Linked DNA regions of Oryctolagus cuniculus. The protein of the gene in region 1 interacts with the protein of each later gene in a biochemical or structural test. Links are inferred from orthologs where the notes say so. Each region holds a gene or a part of one and is shown in the gene's direction. Other genes may lie near its edges.

What was found.
Region 2: the proteins of REL (region 1) and NFKBIE form a complex in vitro, tested with the Homo sapiens proteins (2 studies listed by BioGRID). The link is inferred for Oryctolagus cuniculus from reciprocal best matches to the Homo sapiens genes REL and NFKBIE.

Annotation. Positions count from the first base shown.
Region 1 is NC_091433.1:141,819,101-141,829,174, reverse strand, and holds the start of REL (proto-oncogene c-Rel), read left to right. Parts: upstream 1-4,913; 5' UTR 4,914-5,202; coding exon 5,203-5,224; intron 5,225-10,074. UniProt on the Homo sapiens protein: Proto-oncogene that may play a role in differentiation and lymphopoiesis.
Region 2 is NC_091436.1:125,864,626-125,874,638, forward strand, and holds the start of NFKBIE (NF-kappa-B inhibitor epsilon), read left to right. Parts: upstream 1-5,058; 5' UTR 5,059-5,275; coding exon 5,276-5,649; intron 5,650-7,682; coding exon 7,683-7,785; intron 7,786-8,388; coding exon 8,389-8,611; intron 8,612-9,916; coding exon 9,917-10,005; intron 10,006-10,013. UniProt on the Homo sapiens protein: Sequesters NF-kappa-B transcription factor complexes in the cytoplasm, thereby inhibiting their activity. Sequestered complexes include NFKB1-RELA (p50-p65) and NFKB1-REL (p50-c-Rel) complexes.

The DNA of each region.
Region 1 (10,074 bases):
GTTGAGGCATAATATATATAAAGTACACAAATATTTACACACTAGGAGAACTTAATTTTTATATAATTTATTATTTTGTGATCCTTTTCTGTGGCTTAGAATAGATGTATATTAGGGTTTTTTGTTAGTATAATGAAATACCTAAGACAGGCTATTTATAAAGAATGGTTTATTTACTTTTTAAATTTTTTAGGATTTATTTGGAAGTCAGAGTTAGAGAGAAAGAGAGAAAGACAGGGAGAGAGAGATCTTCTGTCTACTGCTTCACATCCCAAATGACCACAATGGCCAGTACTGGGCTAGGCCAAAGCCAGGAGCCAGGAGCTTCTTCTGGGTCTTCTATATGGGCATAGGGGCCCAACCACTTGGGCCGTCTTCCTTTGCTTTCCCAGGCGCATTAGCAGGGAAGGGGATTGGAAAGGGAGCAGCTGGGACCTGAACTGGCACCCATATCAGATGCCGGTATTGCAGGTGGTGGTTTAACCTACTAAGCCACAACGCCAGCCTCTATTTTTAAATAAATGTAATCCATGTCAATAACAAAGCCAGATATTAGTTAAAAGAGGTAAAAACAGATTATATCCAGTAACAACTAATATACAGAGAAGAGGGCCCAATGTAAACTGAACTCAACTTTTTTGTGTGCAGAGATGACAGGGCATTTTAAGTGGAGAATGAGGGAGTAGGAAGGGGAAACGAATAGCCAAGAAAGCTGAAAATGTTTAAAAAGTGATAAAAGTGGGGGCCGGTACTGTGGTGCAGAAGGTTAAAACCCTGGCCTGAGGCACCGGCATCCCATATGGGTGCCGGTTCTGGTCCCGGCTGCTCCACTTCCCATCCAGCTCTCTGCTATGGCCTGGGAAAGCAGTAGAAGATGGCCCAAGTCCTTAGGCTCCTGCACCAGCGTGGGAGACCTGGAGGAGGCTCCTGGTTCCTGGCTCCTGGCTTTGGACAGCGCAGCTCCGGCCGTTGCAGCCATTTGGGGAGTGAACCAGAGAATGGAAGACCTCTCTGTTTCTTCCTCTCTCTGTAACTCTTTCAAATAAATAAAATAAATCTTTAAAAAAAGAAAGTGATAAATGAGGCCGGCACTGTGGTGCAGCAGGTAAAGCTGCTGCCTGCAGAGCCAGCATACCATATGGGTGCCAGTTTGAGACCCAGCTGCTCCACCTCCGATCCAGCTCTCTGCTGTGGCCTGGGAAAGCAGCAGAAGATGGCCCAAGTCCTTGGGCCCCTGCACCAATGTGGAAGACCCGGAGGAAGCTCTTGGCTCCTGGCTTCAGATCGGCGCAGCTCTGGCCATTGCAATGGAAGACCTGCTCTCTCTCTCTGCCTCTCTGTAACTCTGCCTTTCAAATAAACAAATAAATCCTTAAAAAAGTAGCCTGCTGTAGATTTACTGATTTATTGAATTTCAAGTATCACCTGCAGTTGCCTTGGCAGGGCCATACCAAACGATTTCATGGGCCTTATACCACCTGCGGGTCTGACGGTCCCCACGCTGACCTACAACAGCTGGCACAGAGCAGGTATTTATTTAATTGAGTGAAAGTATCAAAGACTTTAGCCCATGAGAAGATTCCACATGCTAGTCTCCTGTTTAATCCCCAACAACTAGCTGCCTATCATCTATAGAGTAATACATTTTTTTTCCCTGCATGATTCCCTAAAAAAAATCAGAATCACTACCTATGTCTACTGTTCGCAGTTCATTCATCATGCTGTCTTTTTCCTAAATAAGTTTATCCCACATGAATAAAGTAATTTTGCTTTTCAGGTATGGGCTAAATCTTTGGGGGAAAGTTTCAACTAATTCAAAAAGTAGTGGAAGCATTACAGAAAAAGAATTTTCAAGATAAATCCCTGAGTCATGTGAAAAAAACGGCCCTGAAAATAAATATAAACATGCTATTGTATTAATTTAAATAAGCACATGTATGAAAAATAAAATTAATTAGTTCAAAATTCTGTAGCTGCACTAAATTTCCTAAGATGAAGCTTATGATTTCATAGATGGGAATGGTTTGATGCCAGTAACAGGTTATAATACAATGAATATAAGAATCCATGAAACTTTTAAATAGGAAAAGGCAAGAAAAGTTCTTCTTTATAATGTCAGTACCATGACAAATAGAAAAATTATCATTGTTTCTTCCTCTCTGTGACTCTTTCAACTAAATATATACACATACTTTTTAAGCTTCATTTATTTATTTGAAAGAGTTACACACAGAGAGAAGGAGAGGTCTTCCATCCGCTGGTTCACTCCCCAGTTGGCTGCAACGGCCAGGACTTGAACCCACGCCTATACGGGATACCAGCACTGCAGGTGGCAGCTCAACACCACAATGCTGGCCCCTACACATACATTTTTAATTGCCTTCTAGAGGGGCCGGCACCGTGGTATAGTAGGCTAAGCCTCCACCTGGGGCACCAGCATCCTATATTGGTGCCAGTTCATGTCCCAGTGGTTCCTCTTCCAAACCAGCTCTCTGCTAATGGCCTGGGAAAGCAGTGGAAGATGGGCCAAGTCCTTGGGCCCCTGCACCCACATGGGAGACCTGGGAAGAAGCCCCTGTTTCCGGGCTTTGGATCCGCCCAGCTATGGCTGTTGCAGTTATCTGGGGAGTGAGCCAGCAGATGGAAGACCTTTCCCTCTCCTCTCAAATAAATAAATAAATAATTTTTAAAAATTGGTTTGAAAGGCCGGCGCCGCGGCTCACTAGGCTAATCCTCCGCCTTGCGGCGCCGGCACACCGGGTTCTAGTCCCGGTCAGGGCGCCAGATTCTGTCCCGGTTGCCCCTCTTCCAGGCCAGCTCTCTGCTGTGGCCAGGGAGTGCAGTGGAGGATGGCCCAGGTGCTTGGGCCCTGCACCCCATGGGAGACCAGGAAAAGCACCTGGCTCCTGGCTCCTGCCATCGGATCAGCGCGGTGCGCCGGCTGCAGCGTGCCGGCCGCGGCGGCCATTGGAGGGTGAACCAACGGCAAAAGGAGGACCTTTCTCTCTGTCTCTCTCTCTCACTGTCCACTCTGCCTGTCAAAAAAAAAAAAGAAAAAAAAAAAAGAAAAAATTGGTTTGAAAGACATCCTGGGGGGCTGCAGATACTGGCCCAAGTGCTTGGGGGTCCCTGCAACCCAAAAATGTTGGTCTGGGCTCCTGGCTTCCACATGGCCCAGCCTTGGCTGTTTGAGGCATTTGGGAAGTGAGCCAGTGAATGAAAAATCTGTTTTTGTTGCTCTGCCTTCCAAGTAGATGAAAGTAAATAAATAAACATTAAAAAAAAATCCCTGGTGCTAAAAACCACAAAAAATACTACTTGCTCCCATTTAGCAATTCCTTCAGAAAAACTGAAATTGTGAATGCTTTGCCTTTGAAATGTATCATGCACACCTTTTTGAAAAGCTAAATAAATCCCCTGCCAGCTGATTTTTGTTTGTTTGAGGGGGAGGAGAAGGCAGAGGCAGAGGGAACCATTGGTTCATTCCCTAAACAGCCTCAAAACTCAGGTCTGGGCCAGCAGCTTCATTCTCATCTCCCACCTGAGTTTGCCAGCCTCTTTCGGAAATGTGAAAATCGAAGAGGATGGGTCGCCATCTACCTATCTTTGGGAGTTTAAGCCTTGGCTTCCTAGGATTTCTCCTTTGAGGAAAGACAACTAACAGGTAGGTAATGGATTCTACAGGTCTGGTTAGATGAAAAGGGAGAAGTTTTCCGGCTCTGCCATCTTCAGTGCACTGCCGGTGACAGGCATATCAGGGTATGCTTTAATGCTTATCCAAGAAAACAACCGTTTCATTCTTTCTGTACTTTGCACATTTTGTGGAGAGGATGTTTTGGGGTTGGAGGATTTTAACTATACCCACAGCGGGGTCCTCGAGTTTCTGGCACTTTCCCTGCATCTTTTCAGCAGGGAAAAGGGGGTGGAGCTTCGGAGTAGCACAACTTCGGGTTTAAGCCTGCTTTCCTTTTGCAGGATTCTTAAGCACAGAGAAGTTCCTGTGCTTCCCCTTCCCTGAACCCCTTTACCCCATGAAACTAAGGGTAATAATAATACACTACACATGTGGTGAACAAGCCATCTGACACACAGCAGGTGCTTGGCAAATGATGGGAACAAAATCACACCGGGTTCTCGAAGGCACGAACTGTTCGTTCCACTCCCCCCCGTGGCTGTCAACGCCCAAGCCAGAGTGGCCACCTCCCTCAACCCGAGCCCAGTCCGTCACCGGGAGGCCACGAACTCGCCGCGCGGACCTCTCGGTGTTAAAGGTTCTGGCAGGCACAAAGACATGAAATTAACCGAGCCCTAGAAATTTAGATAGAAAGAGGTAAAAAATCAGATTGCGGGGGTCCCCGTATGCAAATACACGAATCCGAAGCGCACGCAGGCGACGGCCGCTTCCGCACCTCCGGAGCGGCCACGACGCGCGCCGGCGCGGGGGCGGAGATTTGCATGTGCGAAATCGGGAAGAGGGGGAACCACCCATCGAAAACCCCGGGAGGCCGGGCCCACTCCGCCGCGCGGCCCGCCCCCACGCGCTCCCGGGCGGCCGGCCCTCTTCACGTCAGCGCGCCCTCCCACCCGCTCCTGAACTTTAAGACTCGCTCGGAAGAACAACCTGGAGGAGGGGGCTTTCTCAGGAGCTGCCCGCCTTCTCACGCTCCGGGCTCCGGGCGATCCCTGGCGCTCCCGAGTATCCCGGGTTCCCGTGCCGGCCGCCCAGCTGCCAGGCCCTCAGCGCAGCGGCGGGGGCGGGAACGCGCGCGGGGCGGGGCGGAGACCGCCGAGGGCGGCCACGCGCGCGGCCGCGAGAACGCCCCGCCCCACGCCCCCAGGGGAAGGCGGCGGCGTGGGGGCCTACGTCAGCCGCGGGAAATCCCCCTCCCGCCTGGCTGCCCGCCTCCTGGCCCGGCCGGCGCTGGGCTCTCGTCCCGCTCCGCCCCCTTGGCCCTGGCTCCGGCACCCGGGAAGGGCGACGCTGGTGACCCGCAGCGCGAGAACTCAGGGGGTGGGAAGGTGTGAGCCGCAAACCCAGAGGAGGGCGGGAAGGAGGAGGAGGCCTCGGGGGGTGGTCCGGGGGACTGGGGTCCAGCCGGCAGAGGTCCCGCGGCCTCCTGACTGACTGACTGACTGGCGGGCCGACTGTCTGCGGCCGCCTCGGGCCGGGACGCTGGGAGCTGCCTGTGTGCGGGCGGCGCGATGAGCGGAGCCATGGCCTCAGGTGAGTGTTCCCGGCGCTGGGTGCCGAGGGCCGGAGCGAAGGGGGCTCTTTTGGGGGATGGGGGTAGGGGTCGTGCTGCCCTGAGGGTCGGGGGGATCGGGGCAGATTCCGTCTTAAAAGATCGCCTCGTCTGGCAAATTGTCAGGCTTTGAAAAAGTTACCTGCCTCAGGGTTTGCGTGCGCAATCAAAGCCAGACTCTGTAATTGGATTCCAGTTTCATAACCGGAAACCTGAGAAATTCCCCACGCCGGGATGCCAGGGTGAGGAAAGCCTCCGTCCGGATCGGAGGGGGCCCAAGAGTGCGCGTCCTTGAGCCTTGCTTGGTATCGAAATGGTGGGCTTGGGGTCTAGGACGAGAATGAGGAAGCGTGGGACCTCGGGCGAGCTCCTGCCTGCCGTGCGCCCTCGTCCCGTCGGGCGCCGAGCGGCGGTCGCTCTCGCGCTGACCGTCGGCCGAGCGCGGCGCGGCTGTACAGGTGGCCGCTGGCGGGTTCGCCGGGCGCCAGCGGAAAGTTTGGTCCTCCAAGTCGGGCATTTTCCCCGGGAAATCGGGCGCACGTACTTTGCGAGGTTACCGAGCCGAGACATTGAGTTCCCCGCCACCGCCTTGTTGGAAATGAGAGAGGGAACGAGGATTTTTTTTTTTTTTAATATCTGTGCTTTAACATAATGGGTGTTCGTGAAAACAACCAGCTTGTTTAATGTGCTTGTTGGCCGTCCGTAAATGCCTGGGTCTCTCGCTTTGGGGCGGTGAGACGCGTTTATTACGAGAAGCGGCTTTGCAGGGCTGCTGGGGGCAGGCTCGTCTGCAGCCGCGGAGCAGGGCTGCCGGGAACCCAGGGCGGCTGAGTCCGGTGGCCGCGGCTGCCCAGGGGCCGTTTGCAGGTACCGGGAGCAGCGTGAGCAGAGGCCCGGAGGCCGAAAGGGAGGGCTTGTTGGCGCTCGGCCCGCGGTCCCCCAGCCGGCCCAGGTGAGTGACCCTCGGTAGCCGGCCGGCCTCGAGTCGAGAAGAGGAAGTAGCAAGCGTAAGGAGCCTCTTTAAAGGGCCTAGCCCTGCAGTGCCATTGCGATGGCTGTAGGCTGAAAAGGAAATTGGGGTGTTTCACATGACATTTGATTTCAGTTTGTGGTTTTCATGTGAGAATTCAAGTGGAGTTTAAAATATTTCAACTTTCCCTTTACCCACTTAGGTGACCCCACACTTTCAGGTAATCTTATAAATTCATACATTCAAAGCACACTTAGTTTAAAAGTATACAGATAACTACAGCTGTTTGTTTAGTTTATTGGTTATCAGAAAGATTTTATTTGAAAGTAGTAAAGAATTCTGAGCGTTTTAAGTGAAAAAAAAAGGGGGGGCTGGCTATTTGAGCACACTTCATTAAGCTATTGCATGAATGTAATATTTATGAGTTTTTCCAAAAGACAGAAAAAAAAACATTCTTTAGAGTATTGTTAAGATTTGCATGATTTTAAAATGTGATACCTTCTAACTTTTTAATAATTTTGTATTGTGTGCTGTTGTGAGGACTAAGGATTCTTTAAATTGAAGGGAAAAATTAAATGGAAAGCTTTAAAAGTTTGCAAGTTGTAGGTCATACCTTTTGGTGTTTGTTTTTTGGTCTTTCTGGAGGTACATTAAAGTGGAACTCTTTTAAAACATAACAAGTTATTTAAATTAGTTTGAAACCACTAGGCAGAACAAATGTTAAAGGAGTCTGGGTGTATTTTACTTAGATAGAAAGAACTTGGAGAAAAAGATTGACTAAATATTCCTGTCCTGTTTTGAAGCAGTTTAACAAACAGAAAAAAAATTGTGTATCATAGTCTAATTTAGATTGTGTTTGTAGTAAGGTATTAAAACCTCAAAAAATATTTTTATTGATTACCAAGCATGTGAGACCATTTCTTCATTTCTCACCGGATGTCATATGTAAATAGGTATGTGCGATTGAGTAGGTGATGTCTTTAATGTAAAAGGAACACAGATCATAATCTCATAAGCAGAATTAATAAGTGCCAGCAGTAGCTAGAACTTTATACATGGTTCTAAAGTTTGTTCAGGTAAATCATCGGATTCATTGTTTTAGATTTCACAGTTTGGATTCTATTAAACTTTTTCATTCTCTTTTTAAAAATTAGCACACCGTGATTCCAGTCTTTTGACACAATTAAGTTGAATAGGCATAGTGAAGAAAAATGTTCCCAGACCTGTCTAAGGTATACCTAATTAGGTAGCAAGTATTCATATATTTTTAATATAAGTAAAATGAAGTATTTTATGTCTGATTTTGAAGTCTCTCATTGTTCTAGTAAACATGGCTTTGTTTACTGATAATACTATCTCTAGTAAATGTTTTAACATTTATATAATTTATTCACATTTTTCTTTAGCATATGGTTCTGCTATGTCATGCAATAGGTAGTACATGAAGCAATTGTCTATGTAAACCTCACTACTTAACAATTCTTTGTAGTGTTAATGGGAAAAAATAGATGTGAGCATGAAGCAACATGATCTTTAATAATGAAGCTGGAAGTTAGGAATGGGTAGTTAAAGCAAATGACTTCTTTTTTTTTTTTTCAAGTAAAAGCCCACAGATGTTTCAGAAATGCAACACACGAAAAAGTATAGAGATAGCAGTGGCATAAAAGGTGTTAGATGATAGACATAAAGGGAATGAACGAATGAAATGACTAAGAAGGGGTTCAGATAATGAATCATAATTAGGAACATCTGAGGTGTGTAGTATCTTTTTTCAAATAGTTTAAGGGACACAGAATTTCTTTCCAACTTTCTGTCACCTTCATTCTCTGCATTTTGTAGACACATGACTGAATATTACATAGAATACACTTACACAAAAAATTGTTTATCTGAAATTCATATTTTAAGATATTTCTCTAGTTATCACTGATAGGTAGAAAGGTTTTTCAAGACTTGATTTCCCCCGTGGTCTATTGCCAAAATCTTTTACATCTTTTATTTACTTTGTTGTCATAGATGTATCAGAAAATTCCCTTTCTTAGGTTTTTCAGGTCCAGTTGAAAGTCAGCTTTATATTGGAACAGATCTCACCTTTAACCCTATATAAACCCACTTGAGTAAAACAGAAGAAATTTTATTTTCTTTTCCTAGTGAATATAGGTGATCTTTAGAAAAGTATTTATTGTTATCCCTTTTTGCTCCTTTGGGTCTGAGGCAGTCTTGTCTAGGACATCTCTCAACTGGGGTGTTGGCACACTGACCTAACAATTATTTGTATGCTGTATTGCAAGAAGTATATATTGATTATTATTAAAACATTTATTTTGCAAGTGACTTTTTTTTAAGTAAATTACAGTAGTTGAAGTCTTTCCCTATAATCACATCTGTCTTGCTTGCTTGTAGTTAAAGAAGCTTTTTTGAGTGGGCAAGAAAAAGGGGTTGCAAGTAGCCAGAATTGCTTTTCCTATTTTATCCATGACCCAGTCCATACAGCTTACCCATGACCCAGTCCTCAATTTTTGGATTGCTTCTCTAGATATATGCATCATTCATTCCACTGTTTGATGTTTTAAGGCCATGGATCTTAATCCAGAATGTCGTAGAATTGGTTGCAAGTCTTTTTCAGAAATATGTCTGCGATTTACTCTTCAAGATTTCTGTTTCTTTTCAGATTTCAGACAAAGTCAGGGCACAGATATTTTGGAAAAGTTACCTAGGTGGTTCTGATAGACACCCCAGAGTGAACTTTTCCTGGGGATTTCGTTGTCTGTACCAAAATCCATCCATTATCTTCGTAAATTAGTTTGCGTATATCTTAGATTGCACGTTATTTGTTCTATCAGTAATTGTGACTATATCCCCCAGCTGCCTTGATGCTGGTTGTTTTCTAAATTTGGCATCCTGAGATCCTAGCCCTCAACTGGCTGATGTTCATAATTGCATTTTCTTATAACTTCATATAATTTTGAACTGTAAAATAGGATAATAATTCTTGTTCAGTTTTTATGAAGATTAAGGGTACCAAATGAGAAATGTATATAAAAGTGCTTCAAAATTGTATAATTACTATTTGTAATTAAAAAATTTCCAGTGCACTTATTATTATTTCCTAATTTTAGCGATAAGATTTTAGTTAATGTGTATTTCTGACAACTGATAATCCATTTTAAACTTTTTATTTTAATGTAATTCTTAAGTATTAAAATAGGCATTGTTTTGTTATAGGACTTTTTAACCTAAGTACAAATAAAAACATAAATATATTTGCAAACAGTTGGGTTGTATTTCAGATGTTATTGTGATTTGTATTAGCATTTTATAATGCTGTGCAAAAGGTAAGGGTCAATTCCAACTCCACATCATATTGGTCAAAGAGAAAAGCAGTAGTCAACTTGTTTAGAACTGATCTTGAGGACATTTCAGTGCTTTTCAAAACTGGTGATTTGTAGTTGTCTTATCAGTACTCATTTTCCTTCCAGTTCTACAGTTTTTATTTACCTTCTTCAGCTCCACAGATGGCTAAATTTTAGTATTTTTTTATCTTCAAAAAGAATGGCTCTGAAAAATAGAGCACTGAGGAAAGAGATACTGGTGCATTGTACATTTTGTGATTTATAGCTGGGTAGTTCTTTTTAAATAATTACAGATAAAGAAATCAGAATATGAATGGTATGAGCAAATTATAAAAGTGTAGCAATTGTAGTAGCTACAAAGCAGTATTTTTTTCATAGCAGCGGAACCTAAAAGAAAATCTAATCACTAAAACAGTTCTTTAATGTTTGAATAACTAGTACAACACAGAAACTTTAGATTTTTCAGTTCACTCAACAAATATTTACTGAATGTCCTCTGTGTAAAAGG
Region 2 (10,013 bases), on another chromosome or scaffold:
CTGCCTCCCCTTGAGCGGCCCTGGAGAGGCGACGAAGTGCGGCCGGCGCCCTGGGCTGGAGCGCAGGACGCCCGTGTTCGAACTCTAAGTCCTGGCCCTGCCATGAATGAGCTGTGTGACCTTGGGCACATGCCTTCTCCTCTCTGAGCCTTCATTTCTTCGTCCGTGCAGTGAGGACGTTGGCTGGACAACCTCTAGGGTATTTGTGAGCGTAGGAGGCAAAGTCCGGGACCACGGAGCAGGGAAGGGTGGAGGGCGCACCGGCCCCAGCCCTACCCGCCAGGGGCGCCACACCCTGCTGCTCGGGCCTCCCGGGGGAAAGACAGACAGGAAACTGGCTGGCGGAGACGCACTCATTCATCCTTGTACTGCATCCATTCGGTAAAAGGCATTAGGCGCCTACTGTGTGCCCCCCGCACAGAAATGAAAAGCTGTTCCCTACTGTCCAGGAGCAAAAGTCTCGCGCAAAGTGCAAGAGGTGGAAAGCAGCCCTTAGAACAGAACACGATGAAGGCCATGCCTGATCAGTCCATGCGCACCAGCTCAGCAGCCTCCTGCCCTGTGTCCCTAAGGCCTTTGACAGAGCAACTCTGCTCCTCAGTTACCCACAGGGACCCAGGCAGAGGGAGGGAGGATGGGAGGTTTACTCAGGTCACCTTTCAGCACTCACAGAGCTTTTCCCCAGAATGTAGACCTGTCCCATGCAAAAGCCTCAGAAGCTACTTGGGGGCTGGAAAGCTAGCTTGAGGCAGAGCCTGCCTGTGTGATCTTTGGAGACAAGGAACAAGCACCAAGGTCTGGGGCAGGAGGGTCCTGCCTCCGTTTCCCCACTCTGCCCTTTCCGGGGGAGGCGAAGATGGCTCCGTGTCACCCTGTGGCTCCATGGCCCTCCCAGTTTGGGGGGGGGGGGGAGGTGGTCCAGAAGAGGCAGGGTCCTCATTCCCTCCTGGTGACAGAAGAGGCTCCCAGGGGCCGGCTGCTGCCAGTGCAGCACCCAGTGCTTCTTGGGACGTCTGCCTCGCAGCTAACTCCAGCCTCTCCCAGCCAGGCTTCCGCCTGTTCTGCCAGCAGAGCGCCTCACCTTGGCCCTTCCTAACTCTCACGGGAGCCTCCCATCCCCATGTGGCTATTGTCATCTTCCTCCTGACCCCGCACTGTCTTCCTGTCTCTACTTCAAGGGTCTTGGAGGGTGGACAACCAAACCCAGAGCTCCCAGGAGACAAAAGACCACCCCTGCCTTCCCATTCACACACATTACCCGTCCCTGGAAGCTCCAGGAGAAGGGGGGTGAAGGGAGGGGGCGGGGGAAGGAGCCAGCTGACCGGCTGGTCACCATGGAAACCGGGCCTGTTTCCCTGAAGATGAGCCTGGCTGGGGTGGGTGGGGGTAGGGAGTAGGGGTACGACAAAGGGAATCCAGGAAGCAGCAGAGAGAAGGCTGGAGGGACCCAGCCTCCAAGAGGACTGCTGTTGAGGAGGTGATGTCAGAGCCCTGACCACGCTGCAGCCTGATTCAAAGTTCCCAGGTCATCCTTCCAAATAACACTCCATGGTCTGTCTCCCCAGTCCTGGATTGACAGGAGAGCTCCCTGATAATAGGGGAGGCACTGGTGCTAGAAGCCGTGGGTGACTCGATGCTGACCTCATGTGGTGGGAGAGGGGACTGCCACACACCTGTTATAGCTCAGAGCCAGACATTATTAGTCTGGCTTGGGATGGATTTTTCCTTGACTTCAGCCTCTGTAGGAATTAGAATGGCGGTCATTGCACCCTCCTGAGTTCTTGTGTACCTGCAGAGGGCTCAGATGCCTGCCTCGTGTGGTTTAGATTTTGCTAAGGAAAGGGTTCACTGAAAAAGCTTTGGATCAGATCAGAAGACCCCAGCTCTGCACCTCCTGTTGAATCTTGAGCAAGTCAGCTCACCTCTCTGGTGGGAGTGGTCATGCCAGGTTTTGAACCCAAGTAGTCTGGGTCTGGGGTTTGTGGCAGTACTTTTACTTTAAGAAAAACAAATTTTTAATTTTATTTGAGGGGTAGTGTTAAGCCACCACCTGTGATGTCAGCATCCCATAAGAGCACTGATTCAAAAAAAATTATTTATTTGAAAGAGAGAGAGAGAAAGAGAGAGGTCTTCCACCTGCTGGTTCACTCCCCTAAATGGCTGCAACGACCAGAGTTGAGCTGTTCAGAAGCCAGGAGCCAGGAGCTTTCTCTGGGTCTCCTAAGTAGGGGCAGGGGCCCAAGCACTTGGGCCATCCTCTGCTGCTTTCCCAGGCCATAGCAGAGAGCTGGATTGGAAGTGGAGCAGTGGGGCTGGAACCAGCACCCATATGGGATGCCGGTGGTTCAGGCCAGGGCTTTAATCCAATGTGCCACAGCGCCAACTCTGCTGTTCCACCTCTGATTCAGCTCCCTGCTAATATGCCTGGGAAAGCAACAGAAGATAGTCCCCATGCTTGGGCCCCTGCCACTCATGTGGGAATCCCGAATGGAGTTCTAGGCTCCCAGCTTCGACCTGGCCCAGCTCTGGCCACTGGGCCATTTGGGGAGTGAACCAGCAGATAGAATATATAAATAAAACTCTGACTTTAAAATAAGTAATACTTTTTTCTCTCTCACTGTCTACTCTGCCTGTCAAAAAGAATAAGTAATGCTTTTTTAAAAAATGTATTGGGGCTGGTGTTGTGGCATAGTGGGTTAAGCTGCCACCCAGTACCAGCATCCCATACTGGCACTGGTTTATGTCCCAGCTGCTCCACTTCTGATCCAGGTCCCTTCTAATGCACCTGGGAAAGCAGATGAAGATGGCCCAAGTGCTTGGGCCCTTGTTCCCATGTGGGAAACCCAGAAGAAGCTCCTGGCTCCTGGTTTCCACCTGGCCCAGCCCTGGCCATTGTGGCCATTTGGGGAGTGAACCAGCATATGGAAGACCTCCTTTTCTGTCTCTCTCTAGCTCTGCCTTTCAAAAAAATGTATTTGAGGGGCATGGGCATGTGTTGTGGGCCAGTGGATTAAGCCATTGCTCGTGCAACACCCACCCATATCAGTGTCAGTTCCAGTCCCAGCTACTCTGTTTCTGATACAGCTTCCTGCTATTGCATCTTGGGAGGCAACAGATGACTCAGGTTCTTGGGCCTCTGCCACCCATGTGAGAGACCAGGCTTGGAGTTCAGATCAGCCCTGGCCATTGTGGGCATTTGGGAAATGAATCAGCAGATGAAAGATAGCTCTATCTTTTCCCCTCCCCCTCTCTGTGTTGCTTTGCCCTTCAAGTTGACAATCATAAATAGATTTTTTTAATTTACTTAAGAGGCAGACAGAGAGAAAGGGAGAGAAAGCTTCCATCTGCTGGGTCTTTCCCCAAATGCTGGCAGCAGCCAGTGCTGGGTCAGGCCAAAGCCTGAAATCAATCCAGGACTCCCATATGGTCGGCAGGGAGCCAGCTACCTGCTCCCTGGGCACCTGCTGCTGCCTCCCAGGGGACTGGGAATGGAGCTGGGACTTGAACCCAAGCACTCTGCTGCGGGATGTGGACAACCCGTATTTTAACCACCGGGCTGAACGCTGGGTCCTGCTCCAGCTTTTGAGTCTAGGAGAGAAACACGTCAGGGAAGGAGGCTGAGGACATCTGAAATCAGTGACCCCAAGGGAGGGAGGGACATGGCTTCCTGGGGCTTTCTCCCCATCCGGGGCTCCTGGCTGTCTCATGCTGACACATCCTCCCACTCCGGTCCTCCAGGGGATGCAAAACTCTGGGGAAGCCTCTACCCCCCCCACCCTGCCCCCACCACTTCCCTTCCCATTTCTGTTCCCAGGGAAGCTTCCCAGCCCCTCACTCCAGTGGGTGGCTTGGCCCCACTCTGTGTCCCCACAACAGCTGTTCTCACTGTGGTCTTAGCACAGCCACCCTCTGTTGGAATTGCCAGGGGGGCTTTGTGAGGACAGGGAGGGGGTGGGAGGTGTTTTGCAGATGGGCGTGAAGGTCCTTGGTCATTGCTGTGACAGTTGGTTCCACCTCCAGCCACGCAGAAACTCTGTCCATGGCTGTCCCGTGGCTGAGTGGACAAGTGCCCACGACACCCACCCCAGCTTGCTTCCCCACTGCCAGAGATGGAGAGTGGTGGACCTGTCCGTGATGAGACCCTACGGGCATCGCTGGCCCTAGGCTGGCAGTGCACTGGGAGCAGGAAGAAGCAACAAAGGAGTAAATCATGGGGCACCTGTTTGGGGCTCACCTGTGGGTGGCGCCCCGGCCTGGGAAAGCAGGGACAGGGAAGGAGCGCAGATGTCGTGGGGGCTGGGATTGGGGCGGGGTGGAGACCTCAGCAGAGTGCAGCCCGGCATGTCTGGGGCCTCCCCATCCTGGCCCCACCACGAGGAACTAAACGTCCCTGACCGCGAGGGGTAACCAGACGCTGTAACCGCCTGAGGCCAGAAACCCCCTGCCCCGCTGTGCTGCTCAGACAAGAGTCGGCCTGCGAAAGCTCACTCTGCAAAAGCACTTCGCCATGCCCGATCCACGTGACCTGGGGAACCGACACAGGGACCCCAAGGAAAAACTGCCCCTCCCACCCCTTTCCGTTAGGATAACAGGTGCCCTCTCCCCCTCCCGTCCCAGACTCCTGGGTCCTAATAAGGAAAGATGAGAAAGCAAGGGAAATGGAGAGAAACGGGAGGAAGCCACGCCAGCCCATCCCACCAGCCGCGTACCCACCCCACCAGCAGCAGCCCAGCCCGTGGAGACGACCAAGAAACATCCCCCTAAATCAAACCAGCGGATCAAGGCACAGAAGTTTAGGACAGAATGAATGGATGCAATGAAGGCGCAGAATGGAGAAGGAAAAAGGAGTGGACGGACGGACGGACGCACGGACACACGGCCGCCCGGCCGGCCGAATTCGTCCCCGGAGCAGTGAGTCAGGACCAGCTAACCACAGACCCCGAACCTACGCACGCCGCGCGGAAAGGGGGATTCCGGAGGGGCGGGGCCTCGGCCCGGAAGCGCCCGTCGGGGGCGGGGCGGGCGCGCGGCTCCCTCGTTGGCCCGAGGGGCGGGGCCCGGGGAGGACCCGATTGGGCGGTCCAGCTGTCCAGGGTACCCGCTGCGGCGGACCCCGCCGGCGCTCGCGGACCCCTCGGACTCCGGCGGCTCGGGAGCGAGGCCGCTGCGGCCGGGCGCGCGCTCTGCCAGGCGGACCGGCGACCCGGAAAGGCGGCGCGGCGGGGTCGGCACCAGCTCCTGCGCGCACCGGGCCCCGCGGGCCGGCGCCGCGGGCATGTCGGAGGCGCGCAAGGAGCCGGACGAGGCGGACGAGGGCCAGTGTGACTCGGGCATAGAGTCTCTGCGGTCGCTGCGCTCCCTGCCCGAGCCCACGCCGACCTCAGCCGCTGCGCCCTCGGACGGCGGCGGACGCCAGCCCTGGACCCATCCTCGGGGGACCACCAAGGTGCCACAGGAGAAGGAAGACGCCGACGGGGAGCGGGCTGACTCCACCTATGGTTCCTCCTCGCTCACGGAGTCCCTGTCCTTGCTGGGGGGCCCAGAAGCCGAGGCCGAGGCCCTGGCCCCAGGCTCGCCGCTGCCCCGCGCGGGGCCGCTGAGCCCTCAGCAGCTGGAAGCGCTCACTTACATCTCAGAAGACGGAGACACGTGAGTGGGGGAGCTAGGCTTGCACCTGGGGGGGGGGGGGACCCTGCAGGCACCCGCCCTGGGAGGGACAGCCCCACTGTCCACACCTAGCTCCTAACTCACTCCACACCTAACTCGGCCCCCTGGCAGGGGATGGGCAGCGCTGGCACGCCCTCACCTAGGCGGCCAGCATTTGGAAATCACCACTAACCCACTCTTGGGAAGAGAGAATTCCCCTGACCAGTCCAGCTTTGTTTTCTTGCTGGGGGAGGGGGCATCCTTGTTTGCTCCTGACCTCAGAATGCCCTGTCTCAAGGAACAAGAGGTGCCAGTTACAGGTTGCTGTCAGGGCCGGGAAAGCTAGGTGCTAGGGTTGGGGCTGGCCCTAAGGAGGAGGGGACGAGCTAGCCTGGGGCACTGGCCCCAGCAGACTCACAGGCAGCTGGATGCCCCGGGCCTACTTCCTTGTCTGTTGGCGAAGGGGAAGTGAGGGCTGGAGCCAGCCAGACTCCCTCTCAGCCTCCATCTCCTGAGCCCCCCAGCCCCCTCTGTGTGCTGTGCTCCGCCCTCATTTTACCCTTCCCCGGGGCCCAGGTGGAATTTGGCGGGGACTCGGACAGGGGGCAGTTGAACTAGAAGCAGCTGTAGGGTGGGATGGACAAGCCAGTTAAGATCTTGGCCCCCAGGAAGAAGAAAACCAGCAACAAGAGGGAGTGGCCGGGATTTTGAACTCCAAAACTGGGGAGGGGAGTAGGGGAGGGCTGGAGTCCAGATCGGAGATGCACGGGCAGGGGAGGCAGGAGCTTCCTGTCCCGTCTCGCCTCCTTGAGATGCACTTCTGAACACTCACAGAGATCACCACAGGCCTCTTGGGACTCTGAGCCTGGATCAGCAGCCCCCAGGCCCAGCACCCCAAGGTGCTGGTGGCTCCATGCTGACCTTCGGTCCAGGGAGTGGAGCCTTCTGACACTGCCTAACGCCACCCTTTCTACCAGCTCTGGCTAGCGCCAGGTGCTGGGTCCAGCCGAGGGACAAGTGTCAGGATTCCCCAGCGCGGCCACCAAAGAAGAGGAGGGGCCCTTGCCTGCCTTGGAGGTGTCTGGGCCGCAGGAGGTGTGGAAGTGGGAAAAGGAAGTGGGAGGGGGCAGGGGGCGGGGAGCTGCAGGGAAGAAGGGAGGTGGCTGCAGGAATGTGACCCAGAGGGCAGGCCCTGGCCGAGGGGATTTCCAGAGCCGTTGCTGCCTCCCTCTCACTCTGTCCTGGGCCAAAGCCCGGCCCCTCCTGCCTGAGCAGCCCCCTCCCCAGCCCAGGCAGCTACTCCCCTGGCTCGTGCCTGAGGCAGCTGTCCTGGCTGAGACCCTCCAGCTCCGCTTTCATTTTCCCCACCTGATGTGGGGAAACCCCAGGACTGGAACTTCCCCTGCAGCCGCCCCCCTCACCCCAGGGCAGAAGCTCTGGGCCCCCGCCTGCCTGCCCCTGCCACACACTTTGTGCACTGCCCAGCCCTCCCCTTGGTGGTGCACACCACAGGGGTGGGTCTCTGGGCAGTGCTGTGGGAGCAGGGCTGGCTGCCTCCCCTGGGACTCTGTGACACCCAGAGGCCAGGGTGGGACCCCGCATCGGCCTCCCACTGGCCTCCCTGTTGGGGAGAGGAGGTGGGGCCCTGGGCTGTGGAAAACCCCCTCTTCACCAGGCCGGCCGCTTTCAGTTTGCCCCGGAGCAGCAGCTGGCCGGGCAGGGCCCCGGGGGCAGAGGAGAGTGGGGTGTGGGCAGGCCGGACAGGAAGGCCCTTGTGCCGTCAGCACCCTGCCCACGTGCCCACCCAGCCAAAGCCTTCCTGAAGGCCAGGGATGGGAACTTGGAGCTCCCACCCACGGGATTCTGGCTTTCCACACCAACCCTCACTTCCTGGCTCAAAGTCTCACTTCCTGCACCTACCCCGTGGGTAGCTAGTTAGAGGCTGCTGTGTGCCTTCTGTACCGAGTTCCCAGACCCCACCCCCGGCCCCGGCCCCGGCCCGGGCCCTGACCCTGAGCCCTGCGCTGCTCCTCCAGGCTGGTACACCTGGCAGTGATCCACGAAGCCCCCGCCATGCTGCTGTGCTGCCTGGCTCTGCTGCCACAGGAGGTCCTGGACATTCAGAACAACCTTTACCAGGTGGGTGGGGAGGAGGGCCAGTGCTCAGGTGCCCACGTCTGCCCTGGCCGCTCGCGCGGGTAACCCAGTGCCAGCCACAGAGCGAGGAGCTGGGGCTGGTGATGCATAAGGCACAGCCTCTACCCACAGTGCCCTCAGCCCAGGCTGGGGACTCCAGCCACGCAGCTCGGTGATGGGGGAGGAGGGGGGGTGTCACGTGAAGCAGCCAGGGGGTGCCACCAGCCACAGGAGGTGGCTTCTAAGTGGAGTCTTCAAAGAGGCATTTGCCATGTAGAAACTGCCTGATGCCCCCATCTTTCCAACCTCAAACTAAGCCCTGTTTCCTGCCCAGGGGTTTCCCCACAGTGGGAGGGGCTAGAGTCTGTCCCCATGTGTTCTGGCTCTGGAGGCTAATGGGGACCCACAAGAAGAGCAGAGGACCTCACCCTGCTTCCCAAACTGGAGTCCTGGAACTGGGTGGGGGGCTGATGCAGGGAAGACTTGGTAGTATTTCCTTGGAAGACCAGGGCTGTGGCACCTGTAAGCTGCTCTCACAGAGGGTGGCCCCCTAGACATTCCCGAGGGAGGCGCCTGCCCCCGGTGACCCTCTGTCTGTGCCTACAGACGGCCCTCCATCTGGCCGTGCACCTGGACCAGCCGGGCGCAGTGCAGGCACTGGTGCTGAAGGGGGCCAGCAGGGTGCTGCAGGACCGGCACGGTGACACGGCCCTGCATGTGGCCTGCCAGCGCCAGCACCTGGCCTGTGCCCGCTGCCTGCTGGAGGGCCAGCCGGAACCAGGAAGAGGACCGCCTCACTCCCTGGATCTCCAGCTGCAGAACTGGCAAGGTGCGGGCAGTCCCGGGGACAGGAGGGGGGAGGGGAGGGGCCCCCTGCTGTCCGTAGATTTCCCCACCCCACCCCTCTGGCTCCAAGCACATAGGTACTGAAGGAAGGGATGAGTGAATGGTTGGATTTAGAGTTTATCCCCCGCTTGTCGTGTGCTGATCAGAAAGGTGGATCTTGGCCCTTAAGAGTTCAGCTTCCCAGAGGTCATGAGGACTCATTCACTCATACACCAGAAATGTCCCAAGGGCCCTTCCAGGCACCCCCAACACTATCCTGGGAGCGATTACACCTGGGAGCCAGCAGAGCCAGTGTGCCACTGGCAGCAAACCAGCAAACCTAACTGGAGGGTACAGCTACAGTCAGAGAAGTGAGCGCTGGCAGAGCAGAGCAGAGGGAGAGGGGCTGCGATGAGGGGGCTGGAGAGTGGATGTGTGCTTTTCCTTTTGAAGATTTTATTCATTTATTTGAAAGGCAGAGTTATAGAGGGAGCAGAAGAGAGAAAGAGAAGGGGGGAGAGAGAAAGAGAGGTCTTCCATCTGCTGGTTCACTCCCCAGTTGGCTGCAGTGGCTGGAGCTGGGCTGATCTGAAGCCAGGAGTTTCCTCTAGGTCTCCCACATGGGTGCAGGGGCCCAAGGACTTGTGCCACCTTCCACTGCTTTCCCAGGTGCATTATCAGGGAGCTGGAATGGAAGTGGAGCAGCCAGGGCTCAAACCAGCGCCCCTGTGGGATGCCGGCACTGCAGGCACTGGCTTAGCCTACTGTGCCTCTGTGCCAGCCCCCTGGATGTGCTTTGACAATTGGATGGTCAGGGAGGGCATCGTGGAGCCAGGGACATCTGATCAGAGACTTGTAGGGGTGGAGGACGTACGCTGAGCAGAGGTGGGGTCCAGCCCGGCAGGAGGCAGTAGCACAAAGGGCGGGAGGCTACAGGCAGGAGGAGACAGGGCCTGGGGAGGGCTGGGAACCGGGGATCCCTGAGAGACTCTCAGAGATGTGGCCTCAGCCTGGCCTGAAAGCAGGTGCAGTGTGTGTGTGTGTGTGTGTGTGTGTGTGTGGAGGGGGCGTGCGTCCGGGGGCGGCACTCAGCAGCCTGCCCCCTGAAGCATGAAGGTTTCAATAACATGACTGAAAAGCTGGAAACTTTGAGTTCCTTTCCCCCTCAGACTTTTGAGGGAGTTTTTGGTGTGCATTTTAACGGTCCTGTGATTAGAGGCACCGAGTGAGCAGTGGGTCCCTTGGGGCCTGGGGGGGGTGGAGGGTGGGAGTGGTGGCCGAAGATCAGCAGTACCCTCCCCCATCCCAGGGCTGGCCTGTCTCCACATCGCCACCCTGCAGAGGAACCAGCCACTCATGGAGCTACTGCTTCAGAACGGAGCCGACATTGACGCACAGGTGAGGTG